Linked DNA regions of Xenopus tropicalis. The protein of the gene in region 3 interacts with the protein of the main gene of each other region in a pairwise test. Links are inferred from orthologs where the notes say so. Each region holds a gene or a part of one and is shown on either strand. Other genes may lie near its edges. The genes, in order: atxn1, hspb2 and dmpk.

What was found.
Region 1: the proteins of dmpk (region 3) and atxn1 interact in binary tests that used the Homo sapiens proteins (3 or more experiments, as listed by UniProt). The link is inferred for Xenopus tropicalis from reciprocal best matches to the Homo sapiens genes DMPK and ATXN1.
Region 2: the proteins of dmpk (region 3) and hspb2 interact in a two-hybrid assay, tested with the Homo sapiens proteins (2 studies listed by BioGRID). The link is inferred for Xenopus tropicalis from reciprocal best matches to the Homo sapiens genes DMPK and HSPB2.

The regions. Positions count from the first base shown.
Region 1 is NC_030682.2:93,270,816-93,275,110, forward strand, and holds the start of atxn1 (ataxin-1), read left to right. Parts: upstream 1-1,484; 5' UTR 1,485-2,551; intron 2,552-4,172; exon of another isoform or gene 4,173-4,295. UniProt on the Homo sapiens protein: Chromatin-binding factor that repress Notch signaling in the absence of Notch intracellular domain by acting as a CBF1 corepressor. Binds to the HEY promoter and might assist, along with NCOR2, RBPJ-mediated repression. Binds RNA in vitro.
Region 2 is NC_030683.2:84,506,388-84,510,573, forward strand, and holds the start of hspb2 (heat shock protein beta-2), read left to right. Parts: upstream 1-1,248; 5' UTR 1,249-1,280; coding exon 1,281-1,374; intron 1,375-4,186. UniProt on the Homo sapiens protein: May regulate the kinase DMPK.
Region 3 is NC_030684.2:71,035,460-71,039,111, forward strand, and holds part of dmpk (myotonin-protein kinase), read right to left. Parts: intron 3,168-3,652; coding exon 2,904-3,167; intron 1,124-2,903; coding exon 1,047-1,123; intron 1-1,046. UniProt on the Homo sapiens protein: Non-receptor serine/threonine protein kinase which is necessary for the maintenance of skeletal muscle structure and function.

The DNA.
Region 1 (4,295 bases), on a different chromosome or scaffold from region 3:
AGCACAACTATATAGAAGTAGAAGCAGCATCTTTAAACACAAGTACCTTTAAAGAATGGCATTTTTCCAACACAACTGTGGCAACCTTGGGGCGCCCACTTTCTTGAGGTACAAAGGTTTGAGCTAGGTAGGGAATATCCTACTGCTGTTCTCTATGTAAAAGGTGGCATGTGGCTGGATATGGATATGGATGTCTCATAAGCAGAAGTCCTGCTCAGTGCAAGCTTATAGTACAGGTTCTAGTTCACTCAAGTATGGTGAGCAATATTAAAAGGGCGTGGATAGCATTTTAATGGCCATATGGCCAGACATAATGGAAGACATTCCTCCAAATAGTCCCTAGTTATTATTTATTACTGCACCATATACATAAATGTTATTGAGTAATAGTTACATTTATCGATACTTTACCTGTGAGATTTATGTTTGACAGTTTATGAAATACCTTATTTCTCAGCATTCTAAGCATTCAAGCTTATTTCAACATTCTTCTACATTGTATCCGATTCTGCTTCTGGAGAATAACAATATGGTTATAAAATAGCCAAATATTACCTAAACCACTATACTATCTATCTATATATATACCTATCTATTCTATATATACCTATTACTAGTATCTGTTAGGAGAAATGGAAGAAAATAGGTGCAAAGTTTGCTCCAGATCTATTCAAATAAATAGCAATTAATCAGCAGTTAACATGCTGCAATTAAATACTCAAAAGTCATAAGGGTAATTTATAATAACAATACATGTAACAGTATTGTACATATTTTGTAAAAGCTTATAAGCTTATCTGTCATGGCTCCTGTGGGCCCAGCAGGTCAGCCTTATCCAGTCTTTAATGCATGCCACATCTTGATCCGCGTTTGGTTGCTCCCATTTCTCTCTCTTCAGTATGGACCACTGATGCTCACTCCGTCTTAAACTGAGATAGCTAAAGACACACCTTGGAGGAGTTCAAAACACAAAAAACATGCATTAAAAGAGTAGTATTTTTTCCCACTTTTTTAATACTTTTTTGTATATTGCTTGTATGCTTGTTTGAATATTCACTTAAAGCTGTGGCCCTACGCCCATTTTTGACCTACAGTTCAGTTTGGTACTGCAGCTAAACAACTGTGAGACATCCTTCTAACTACTTAAAGACTTATAATACATCTTAGGTACTTTTATTCATATCACCCCCCCAAAGGCCACCTTTAGTGTTGGTGGCTGATGGAAGATGCCCTCTATATCGCTTAATACAACCAGCCTGGACTGTTTGTTTGTACCAGGGGCAATGTTCAGCCAGGAAGCCGTGTGTACACTTTACTGTGTTTGCTGTTACTTATTGCAGGGCATTGGAACTGTGAAACAACAAAAAAAACCACTGCATGACATATATGAAGGAAACAAGCCATCTGCTTGCTGTGTTTTCCACAACCTATTATGTTTTACCACCAGAGGGTACTCTTCAGGGTCACCGAGTCTGTTAGCATGCTTTTCAGTAACCCTCTGTTCCCTGGAGAGAGGAAAAAAAAACACAACAGGTTAGAAAAGTCCTCAAACACTTGACACCTGCTGGACAAACAGTCAGAAAATCACAGGCAATAGGTGCCCTTGGTGCTGTTTCCCACAAGGCAGCAGCTGAAGCACCCAGGAAGTGAGCTGTAATAGAAAACGTCTTTACATGAAGGGGTATGCCCAAAGCTGAAAGTTTCAGGGATTTTCATTCCCTTATGAGATAGGAAAACACATTCACACAAATAGGACGGTGCCTTATTGAAAAAAGGCTTATGTGGTGGAATGAATTCCATTGTTCAGCCTGCTGGCACAGATAGGGTTAAGCCAGAAGCGATTTCCTACATGACGTGAACACGTAAGGTCTGCGTTGTTCCTCTCTGTGGACATTGAGCTTGGCTTGCCCTTACAATTCCTACTCTCTGCCTCTCCTCCACCCCTTCTTCTCTTTCCAACAGAGGCACACACCCTACAGGAATCAAACGTGTGCACGTATTAAAGTTACTCCGCGCTGCTGCTACGTCTCTGCTCGCACTTTCTTCCTTTAAATGATCCTGAAGAAGAATCCCGAAAACCTCTTTGTTTTTCTTTTAAGGGGAACACCCACATTTAAAACTGCACCCTCAGTAGCTGTAGAGATACAACAAGTATACGGCAGGCTGGCGGATCAGCACGTAGAAGGGGTTAAAGCCGACCGCCCCAGCTCTGTTGTGCGTATGCAATAATCTGTGTGGCTGCCTTGGCCGTCTGCCAGAGTGTTGCCTTGCCTCCACACACACTCTCTGCCCCCCCCCTTCCTCCCTTTTGCATGAAGTAGGATCCTTGAGCTGTTGCAGAGGCAGCCAACTGCTCCATATTTGGCTTCTATTACACATTTACATACTGGAGAGAGAGAGGGAGAGAGCTGTACTGCAGACATCATTTCTACTACAGTAGAGGAGACGTACAAGACCTGTCTTTCTGCGAGGGGGGGCAGAGTAGGAGGAAAAAAAAAGCAATAGCTCAGACACCCTCTTCATCCAACAAGCCCCTATACTGCACTTTACAGTAAGTCGATTTTATTTGTCTCTTCACTTTTCTGTTCTGATCATGCAGACCTTAGTGGGCAAGTGCTATACATGCATGTACTATAGCATTTCCATGTACAGAAGCTTCTCTGGGATCATCTGTAAGCCTTGCAGAACTACAGATCACAGGCTTATTTTTCCTGCTTTTTATACCCCCTGAAAGAAGCAGCGATAAGTGAAATCAGTCAGAGATACAGGCATGTATTTTTTCTGTTCGCTGAAATGATATAGTGCAGTGCCTACCAGGAGTGCACCATCGGTGCAAATGTTCTTGATGAGTGCCGCTGTCTGTGTTTCGTGTAGAGTGGGGCCTGCTTTCCATAGGAACTGAGAGTAATAGAGTGTTTTACCCTGATCAGTAATAGGGAGACTGCAGTAATTGCTTTCCCCATGGGGTAATGAAGAGAGCCAGTGTGAGTGTGTGTACGAGAGAGGAGAGCACACGTTTATGTCACCTCTCTTAGTCCCCTCCTCCTACTGTCTGATCTATCAGTCTGCTTCTCTTCTATGGAGACCACCTGGTTCCAGATTACTATAGAGACACTTGCACAATCTTGCCATTATTTTGATTGTAGGGTTATTCCATTATTCATGAACATAAAAGAACTGGAAGGGCTACAGATACAGAAAGCTAGAAGGCTGAATAGAGGTAATTAGGTAAATTAGGCATGCCCAACATGCGGCCCTCTTTGGCTGGACTACAACTACCAGCATCCCTGGCACTTCCCTGAAAGCAGCCATAAAACCTGGCTTACTAGGTATAAAATCCTTTCTAATATATTTTTTTTATTAATGATATTAAGCCATGTAGTTCAATGTTTAGTGAGCTTACATGTTTGTGATCAAAATTAAACAGACAGGGCTGCATTTTAGCTCTTATGTTGCACTTTCACTACATACAGTCCATATTATTATTATTATTGTTGCTCTACTTTGAATTCATGTAAATAGGCCTAACCAATGACAGAATGTGGTTAGGAATTTGCACAGAGCTGGCCTAAGTAATACAAGTTGCCCTACATTAAAGCCAAGGCATTGTGTTCTGAACCACGGCCTAGTGCTGATAGAAAGACAGGCCCGGAGCATTTGGCAGACAGACTGCTCCACCCCACAGTGCTGGGTTCTGTCCTCGCTGCTTTTACCCTGCCCTCCTGGAGAACAGTATGATCCAGTCTGCTCCTTCCAGAAACACTTTTATAAAAGTAACAGTTGCCATTTTTAAATATGACAGTTATTGTGCTCGCACAAGGCATGGATTTTTAGGAGTGAGCACATAAATTGCAATACATGCAAAATACTAAACTATATTGTGTTAAGAGGCTTATCTCAGTTAAAGCAGATCTACTTTGCAAGGGGATGGTTCCTCTGCTTATTGTGTTTTCAGGCATTAATGGCACTGGTATTATTGTTTAGGTTAATCAGGTTGTGATTACAGACAAAAAACAGTTGCAGAAAGCACAGGTATTTCTATATTCTATTGGCCTCCGTTTTAATGTGCAAAAATATTATAACAACCTAGAAGAGTCGTGTGAGCTGCCGAAACAAGAAGTATTTTTCTACATGACGCGCTTCAAGGCTACAGATCTGCTAGAGCATTTAAAAATCACTAGAATTGGGTCATTCTCTCTGAATGACGTGGAGCCATATGACAGTCTTATCTCATCTGAGATGTAGCTGTACATAAATGCTTGCCCAGTGTGGAAGCTCGCTTGGATGAAGGATTA
Region 2 (4,186 bases), on a different chromosome or scaffold from region 3:
AGGCAGCACATTTTGATATTCTTCATTAACACTTCTACAGTGTACATTCCTTCAATTTTAACCTTCAGCACTGGATCTTTTTCCTCCATCAGCATTCATTCCTCCACTTTTAATTCTGTCCATCACAGCAGATGCTTCCTTTTCAGGTTGTGAAGGTCATTACTAGTGAAGAGCGAATCTGTCCCATTTAACTTTGCCATAAAATGTGCGAAAGAGCAAGAAAATTTGCGAAATCAATAAAAATTCGCGAAACGAATTTGTTGCACAATTTTTTCCATGTCTTTTTTGGTCGCCCACGTTTTTTTGATGCGCCCATGCCCAATTTGCCATGACCGAACCCTTTTTTCCGTTGCAAATTTTTATGGGAGTTTTGTGAAACAATTCACCAATGGTGAAATGCGGAAATTCGCTGAAAATCTATGCCTGATGAAAAAATTCGCTCATCGCTAGTCATTACCAACATCAGGTGATCAAGATTTCCATCATCCATCACCACAAAACCTCAAGCTGCAAGATGACCTCTATCTTGTACTTCCCTTCATAACATAATTTCATGTAGCTTGGCAACAATATACAGATGGCACAGATAAAGTTTCCTATGTAGAAAGACCCTAGCCTATTGTAACTGGGTTCTTCGAAGACACATAACCCTGGCTACGAAATACATCCTATGGACTCCTATAAACAATGCATCCTATGAACAATATAGAAGATGCAGAACTCTATACTTCTCCTCAGTCACTCTCCTTCAAAAATAATTCTTATTCATCCAACAACATCTAGGTGCCTGTCAGATAGACCTGCTGGACAACTTTTGAAAACTCAAACTCCAAACTTCCATAGACTGGACTCAGGAACCTCAGTTTATGAATTCCTTTTTCTTCCATTGACACAACATACCTCATTATCTTCATGAAAGTCTTCATCAAAGTTCTAGTCTATCTGGTATGGCTACCACAGATATATTGAATTCTGATTTGCTTTAATTATTTTTGTTACCTCAGCATCCATATACAGTATGTACTGTATGAACTGAAATGATACAGTTTCCAGGCCAGAAAACTTAACTCATAAATCCAAAAAGTGTCCCTGTGAGCTATTCTGTTTACAGAAACCTTAAGCCTCAGCAACTAAAGTTATTTGGGGGCTTTATGGTATCAGAGTTTCCCCTCCCATCAGCTCCCGGTGATTAAAATGTTGAAGGCAGAGGCTGCTTTCTCTCATCTGCACTGCAGCCAGACACCTCGATAGAAACCATCATTATTTTCCTACTTGGGTCGATGGAAGGTAGAACTGTGCCTCATGCCTATCCCATGAGTGCAGAATATGAATTTGCTAACCCAACCAAAATATTTGACCAAAACTTTGGAGAAGGTAACTAAAAATGTGTATTTTTTTTTGTTTGATATAATTGGCTAAATAAAAAAGGTAAAGAGAAAGAAGAAAAAGAATTATTAAAAAAAAAATACTTGAAAAACAGAATTGCGTAACTTTCAGAGCTATCACAACAATTAAATGAACATTTTACAACCCAGCTTTTCGCACTCCCTACTGCATTGCCATCTGGACGGTAAAATGTATGTTTGATGCCAATGTTATCTCCCTACATAGCAGAGCATAGTTTTTAGCAGAGCAAGTATTTTAAAATACAAATAAATCCCCAGAACTTGGGTCTTGGGTATAATAAAATAATTTATTGTGATTTTGTGTATGCAAAACAGTTTCAAGCCAAAGAGATCCTCTTTAATACTGTGTATCTGTATATTGCATTTTTATTCTATTAGCCATTAAATGATAGTGCTTAATGCCAGAAATATAGCCATGCTAATAGTTATTTCTCCAGTTTAGCAACTGTGTGCATGTAAGATGTTCACATACACCCCAGCTTTCTTCTCTGTTATCGATAGCTGCACATTTTGTATGAATTTACTTATTGTTTGTTGCCTGCTACACAATGGGATCATACTATGCTTATTGGGGCCAAGAGAAAGAACAGAGGCTATTTCTGCATCAGTTGTTGCTCTGCACTGCAAATATATTTAAAAGAATATTCTTTCTTGATCAGTGCGGAAGAGCAAAGTTCCATGTATAAGTTTTGTTTGTATGATGAAAACATCCAGTATGTTTGTGCTAATTTAGGGTTTTACCCATGGCATTGTATACAAAAATGTTTTGAATTGATTATGTTTTTCAAGGTTTTTAGAGCGTAATGTGTTTTGGCTTCTGCTGTAAATCTAACATACTGCAGGTTGGATATCAGTTTAGTTTACATAAGTGCTGGTAACTGGTGCTGGAGGTCATAAAAATAGTAACACAGCTGCTCCATCTCTCATTGTCTGTGTTGGCATAGACAGTGACTGTGCATTGACATTTTATTAAGATGACTCTGCATCCCTTATAAGTGACTGACACAAACAACAATTGGCATGAGTTAAGCTCACCATTATTGTGGATTGATCTAACTCCTAATATGTTTAAATTACTTAATGAGTGTTTTCAATATCTTTGCTATTATGTACTTATAGGGAGAGGGTCTGCTGAGGGGTCACTTGGGTTAATAATCACATACAGGTATGGGACCTGTTATCCAGAATGCTCGGGACCTGGGGTTTTCCAGATAAGGGATCTTTCTGTAATTTGGATCTCCATAACTTAAGTCTTCTAAAAATCATTTAAATATTGAATAAACCCAATAGGCTTGTTTTGCCTCCAATAAGGATTAATTATATCTTAGTTGGGATCAATTACAAGGTACTGTTTTATTATTACACAGAAAAAGGAAATCATTTTTAAAAATTAGAATTAATTGCTTATAATTGGAGTCTATGGGAGACAGGGTTTCCGTAATTCGGAATTTTCTGGATAATGGGTTTCTGGATAAGGGATCCCATACCTGTACTCCAATACTCTACTACAGGCACTTCTGCCATGTACAAGTAGATCAAACTGTTTATACCTCATTTATCTCTATGATATAAGCTATACTTATAAACAATAGGGCAGAAAAGAGAAAGAGTCTCTCTTTTAGCATGAAGCATGTTAAAGTAATAGTGACCCTAAAAAATTATTCTTCAAATTATAAATGTATGTAAAAAGTTACCTACAGGTCATGTCGATCATTTTTCACTGATAGGCCTGCTTTTGTAAATAATTGTTACTTAAAGTTTCTAAACCCCACTGTCCCTCATAGCCCCCTCATAGAGGAACATGGGGATTAGATGTGTGATGTAAAGGCATTGTACAGATACTTTTTATAGCAAAATTGCAAAGAGATTGAAAGACAATAGGGTTGATTCACTAAAGGTCGATAAGCGTTATTGCATGCTTTTTTGTGTTAAAATTGATGCGAAAAAAGCATGCGATTCGCTAAAATATTATCGCATGCCTTACGTTAAATAGCGCGCAACCGAATGTGTTCATTTTAACGCATTGCGTTAATTCTCGCACAGAAATAATACTAACGCATGATTCACAAACACTTAGACGCGCTAAATATCGCATTCGTCTGTGCGAAAATTAACACCTACTTGGGGCAGGCGGTAATTATAGAAAAGTACAGTTCATGAGCTTTTGGCAACACAATATGGACTTTGCAGTGTGATTTATTCAAGTCTGTGTTGGCCCTAGAGTGATGTAGCCTCCAGTTTGCAGGGAAATGGTCATTTTCAGAATAGTAGTTTTCCGAAAGTAATGGTGTGTATGGCTGTTAGGAGAAAACTGCACCAGCCCAGGGTAGCTGCGAGCACTTCCTTCTTCCACGTTGGTGCACTGCGCATGCGCATTAGAGTGAAAAGCCAAACTTTAACAACAAAGTCGACTTTTCACTCTAATGCACATGTGCCAGCCCAGGGATTTCACCGGTAGAAGAAACGCAGAAAAAGGAAGCGCTCGCTACAGCTACCCCGGGCTGGTGCTGTTCTCTTCGAACAGGGGCACCAGCCCGGGGTACAAGGTAAGCGATTTAAGTCACTTGGTGGTGCCTAACATTTTGGCACCTCCAAGTGACTTAGCCTTTCCTTCTCCTTTACAGACACAATTGTAGGAAACAAGTAAGCCTTCACCTCCTAATTCAATCAAGAAAAATAATAAATGACAGTAGATTTTTCATTCATTTCAAGCCGTGTACACAAACTTTCCATACTCCCAGAACCTCAGTCTCATTATGCGAAGATTGCACTGTCCCTTT
Region 3 (3,652 bases):
TCACAGTGAATTTTCTATAGTCTGCATTACAATATCTCAGTTGATGAAGCAGCTGGTACAACTTGTTTTGTCTATGCTTTTTAAGCTCTCAGTTCAAATAAGCATTAGGTTATAGTCAGCAACTGTACAGTGGACGGGGTCCCATCTATGGTCTATGGATAGCTCAATAAGAAGGGCTTTGTGATACAAGGTACCTTAAAGGAACAGTAACACCAACAAATGAAAGTGTATAAAAATAACTAAAATATAATGTGCTGCTGCCCTGCACTGGTAAAAGTTGTGTGTTTACTTCAGAAAGTCTACTATAATTTATATAAATAAGCTGCTATGTAGCCATGGAGGCAGCCATTCAAAGGAGAAAAGGCACAGGCACATATCAGATAACAGATAAAACACTATTGTATTCTACAGAGCTTATCTGTTATCTGCTATGTAACCTGTGCCTTTTCTCCTTTTTTCCAGCTTGAATGGCTGCCCCCGTGGCTACACAGCAGCTTATTATATAAATTATAGTAGTGTTACTGGAGCAAACACACCAGTTTTACCAGTGCAGGGCAACAGTACATTATAGTTTGATTACTTTAAAGCTCTTTCATTTTTTTGGTGTTACTGTTCCTTTAAGGCAAAAGCATAATGATCCAGACTGCTTTGTAAGTCCTCAGAAATAAAAGTCACGCTGTTTTTTTTTAAAAAAAATAACTAGCAGTCATTTTATCTCTTTAGAGCAGAATTTAGGATCAAGCTTAAGTCTCCTGCTGAAAGTAATTTCAGAAAAAGCCAGGGAAAAGTTTGTGCTTTTTAAGCTGGCCATGACTAGATTCTGGTTAGGCAATTTTTCATAAACGTGAGCAACACACCAAGTCAGACCAAAGTTGAATCATACCACAAATACCTCCATATGTAAAAAAAGGTAATAAGTTTGCCCAGGAGCAGTAACCCATAGCAACTCCATAGGCTATATAATACATATCCAGTTGAAATATCAAACAGAATTGTTGGAATATCTAAAATCTGCAGCATCTAGACTTGTGGCCATTTTCACTCACCGCACTGTATAAGAATAGCCAACAAAAGGCAGGTGAACTCCAAGAGGAGAGCTGTCTCCAACATCAGAGAGTGTCTCCTGGGAACAAAAGATAAAATACTTCAAAAATGCCAGTGGAAAAGGAAATTATCACTTTTTTAATTATCACTCATCAAACCTACAACACTGACACCTATTCACCTTAAAACAATACAAATTGGAAAAATTAAAAGATGGTAATGCTACCAAAATGCCACTGGAGTGAGAGTATTGTAGACAATAAGGGCTCTGGTACACGGGGAGATTAGTTGCCCGCGGCAAAACTCCCTGCTCGCGGGCGACTAATCTCCCCGAGTTGCCTTCCCCCTGCCATCCCCCCGGCGAACATGTAAGTCGCCGGCGGGATGGCAGACGCGGCGGCGCGATTTCGCGCAAATCGCTTTCGGCGATTTCCCGAAATCGCCTCGCCGCGTCTGCCATCCCGCCGGCGACTTACATGTTCGCTGGGGGGATGGCAGGGGGAAGGCAACTCGGGGAGATTAGTCGCCTGCGGCAAAACTCCCTGCTCGCGGGCGACTAATCTCCTCGAGTTGCCTTCCCCCTGCCATCCCACCGGCGAACATGTAATCTCCCCGTGTACCAGAGCCCTAAGATGACACGTTCAGAATCCAAAACACCAATGGGAAACTGCACAAGACACATACTCTACATAGTAAGAATGTCACCTCTTTATAAGAAGTGCAGTTGACACAAACTGATTACACAGTGTTCCTATTACACGGCTGCCCACAGATGACTTGAGCAGGGGAACCTTCCGTGCAATGCATGATTTGAAACCATGATGGTGTAGTGTTCTACCGACAGTGACCTCTGAAATTGTGGTCCCAGCTCTCTTCATGTCATTGACCAGCTCCTCCCTTGTAGTTCTGGGCTGATTCCTCACCTTTCTTATCATCAGTGATACCCCAGGAGGTGAGATCTTGCATGGAGCCCCAGTCGTAGGGAGACTGACAGTTGTCTTTAGCCTCTTCCATTTTCTAACAATTGCTCCAACAGTTGATCTGTCCACAACTGTCCACAATTTTGTCTCTGGTGTCTTTTGATAGTTCTTTGGTCTTGCCCATGGTAGTAGTTGGAGTCTGACTGACTGTGGGGTGGACAGGTATCTTTAAAGAGCTCAGACAGGTGCTACTAATTTAGATTAATGAGCGTAGTAGAGGTGGACTATTTAGGCTGATGGCAGACAAGGCATAGGACGGATATTTTCGGCAAGAGGGAAAAGCGCTTGCTGAAAATACTGCCCTACGCCTCCTCCTACTGGAATACACTCGGGTGCAGGCACATGTAGCCAAAATACGCATAAAAATGCGAGACCGCATTCTCTCACATTTTTATGCGTATTTCGGCTACATGTGCCTGCACCCGAGCGTATCTCATTCATTCGGGTGCAGGCACATGTAGGAGGCATAGGGTGGTATTTTCAGCAAGCGCTTTTCTGCTTGCCGAAAATATCCGCCCTACGCATCGTCTGCCATCAGCCTTAAAGGCAGAGTAACAGGTCTTTGAGAGCCAGAATTCTTGCTGATTGCCAGGTGTTCAAATACTTATGTGCAGCAGTGCAATACTAATAAATTCTTTAAAAATCATACAATGTGATTTTAAATGCTGTCTCTCACAGTGGGAATGCACCTACAATGTGAATATCAGACCTCTTTTGTATATGATGTATAAGACTTTAGATTCATAGATAGTGGATTTATTGAAGTAATAAATTATTCTTTAAAAGCAAATACACTGTAAATAATTTGCAAGCCTAACAAAACAATTGACAAATTTTTGAAATAACTTAATAATAACTGTTTGACTAACAGATACTTACACCTCCACCACTAACCATCTCTGAAAGCTGATCTTCAACCATATCGAAATTTGAGGTATCTGTGGCTCCCTCTGACTCAGGTACATATGGCGGAATACTGTCCATCAATCTTTCCCATTCAATGCCAGCAAATAGTGGGTGCATCTGGAAATCTTGAAGCCCACCTCTTCCCAAGCGGGTTTCTCGGTCACAGATGAGAGATGAGATAAAGCTTAATGCCTCAGAAGAAACCTCGCTGGATGAAGGGGGGAATATAAAGTGCTCCTGGTGGGGGATGGAAAGCATGTAATGTAAACCTGTTAGGTATGCTGGGAACTTGTGTGTGTTTTTTCTGTGCCACTGAATCATAGTCCAAAAATCAAAGATCCCCTAAACAAGTGGTTCTCAACCTTCCTAATGCCGCAACCCTTTAATACAGTTCCTCATGTTGTAGTGACCCCCAACAATAGAGGGGTTTTTAAGACCATAGGAAATATGTGTTTTCTGATGGTCTTAGGCAACCCCTGTGAAAGGGTCGTTCGACTCAACCCACAGGTTGAGAACCACTGCCCTAAACAAAAAAAGAGAACTGCAAAAAACACATTTTGTAAAATATTTGGGGTTAAATGTTAGCAGAATAAAACACAAGAAGGCAGTTCTAATAAAGCAAAGTAAAACTATTTACTTTTCATCATAATAAAAATGGATACGTGAAAACTCTTTTATAGTAGGGAACAGGTGGCAAAATTAGAAATATCATGGCTATTTGA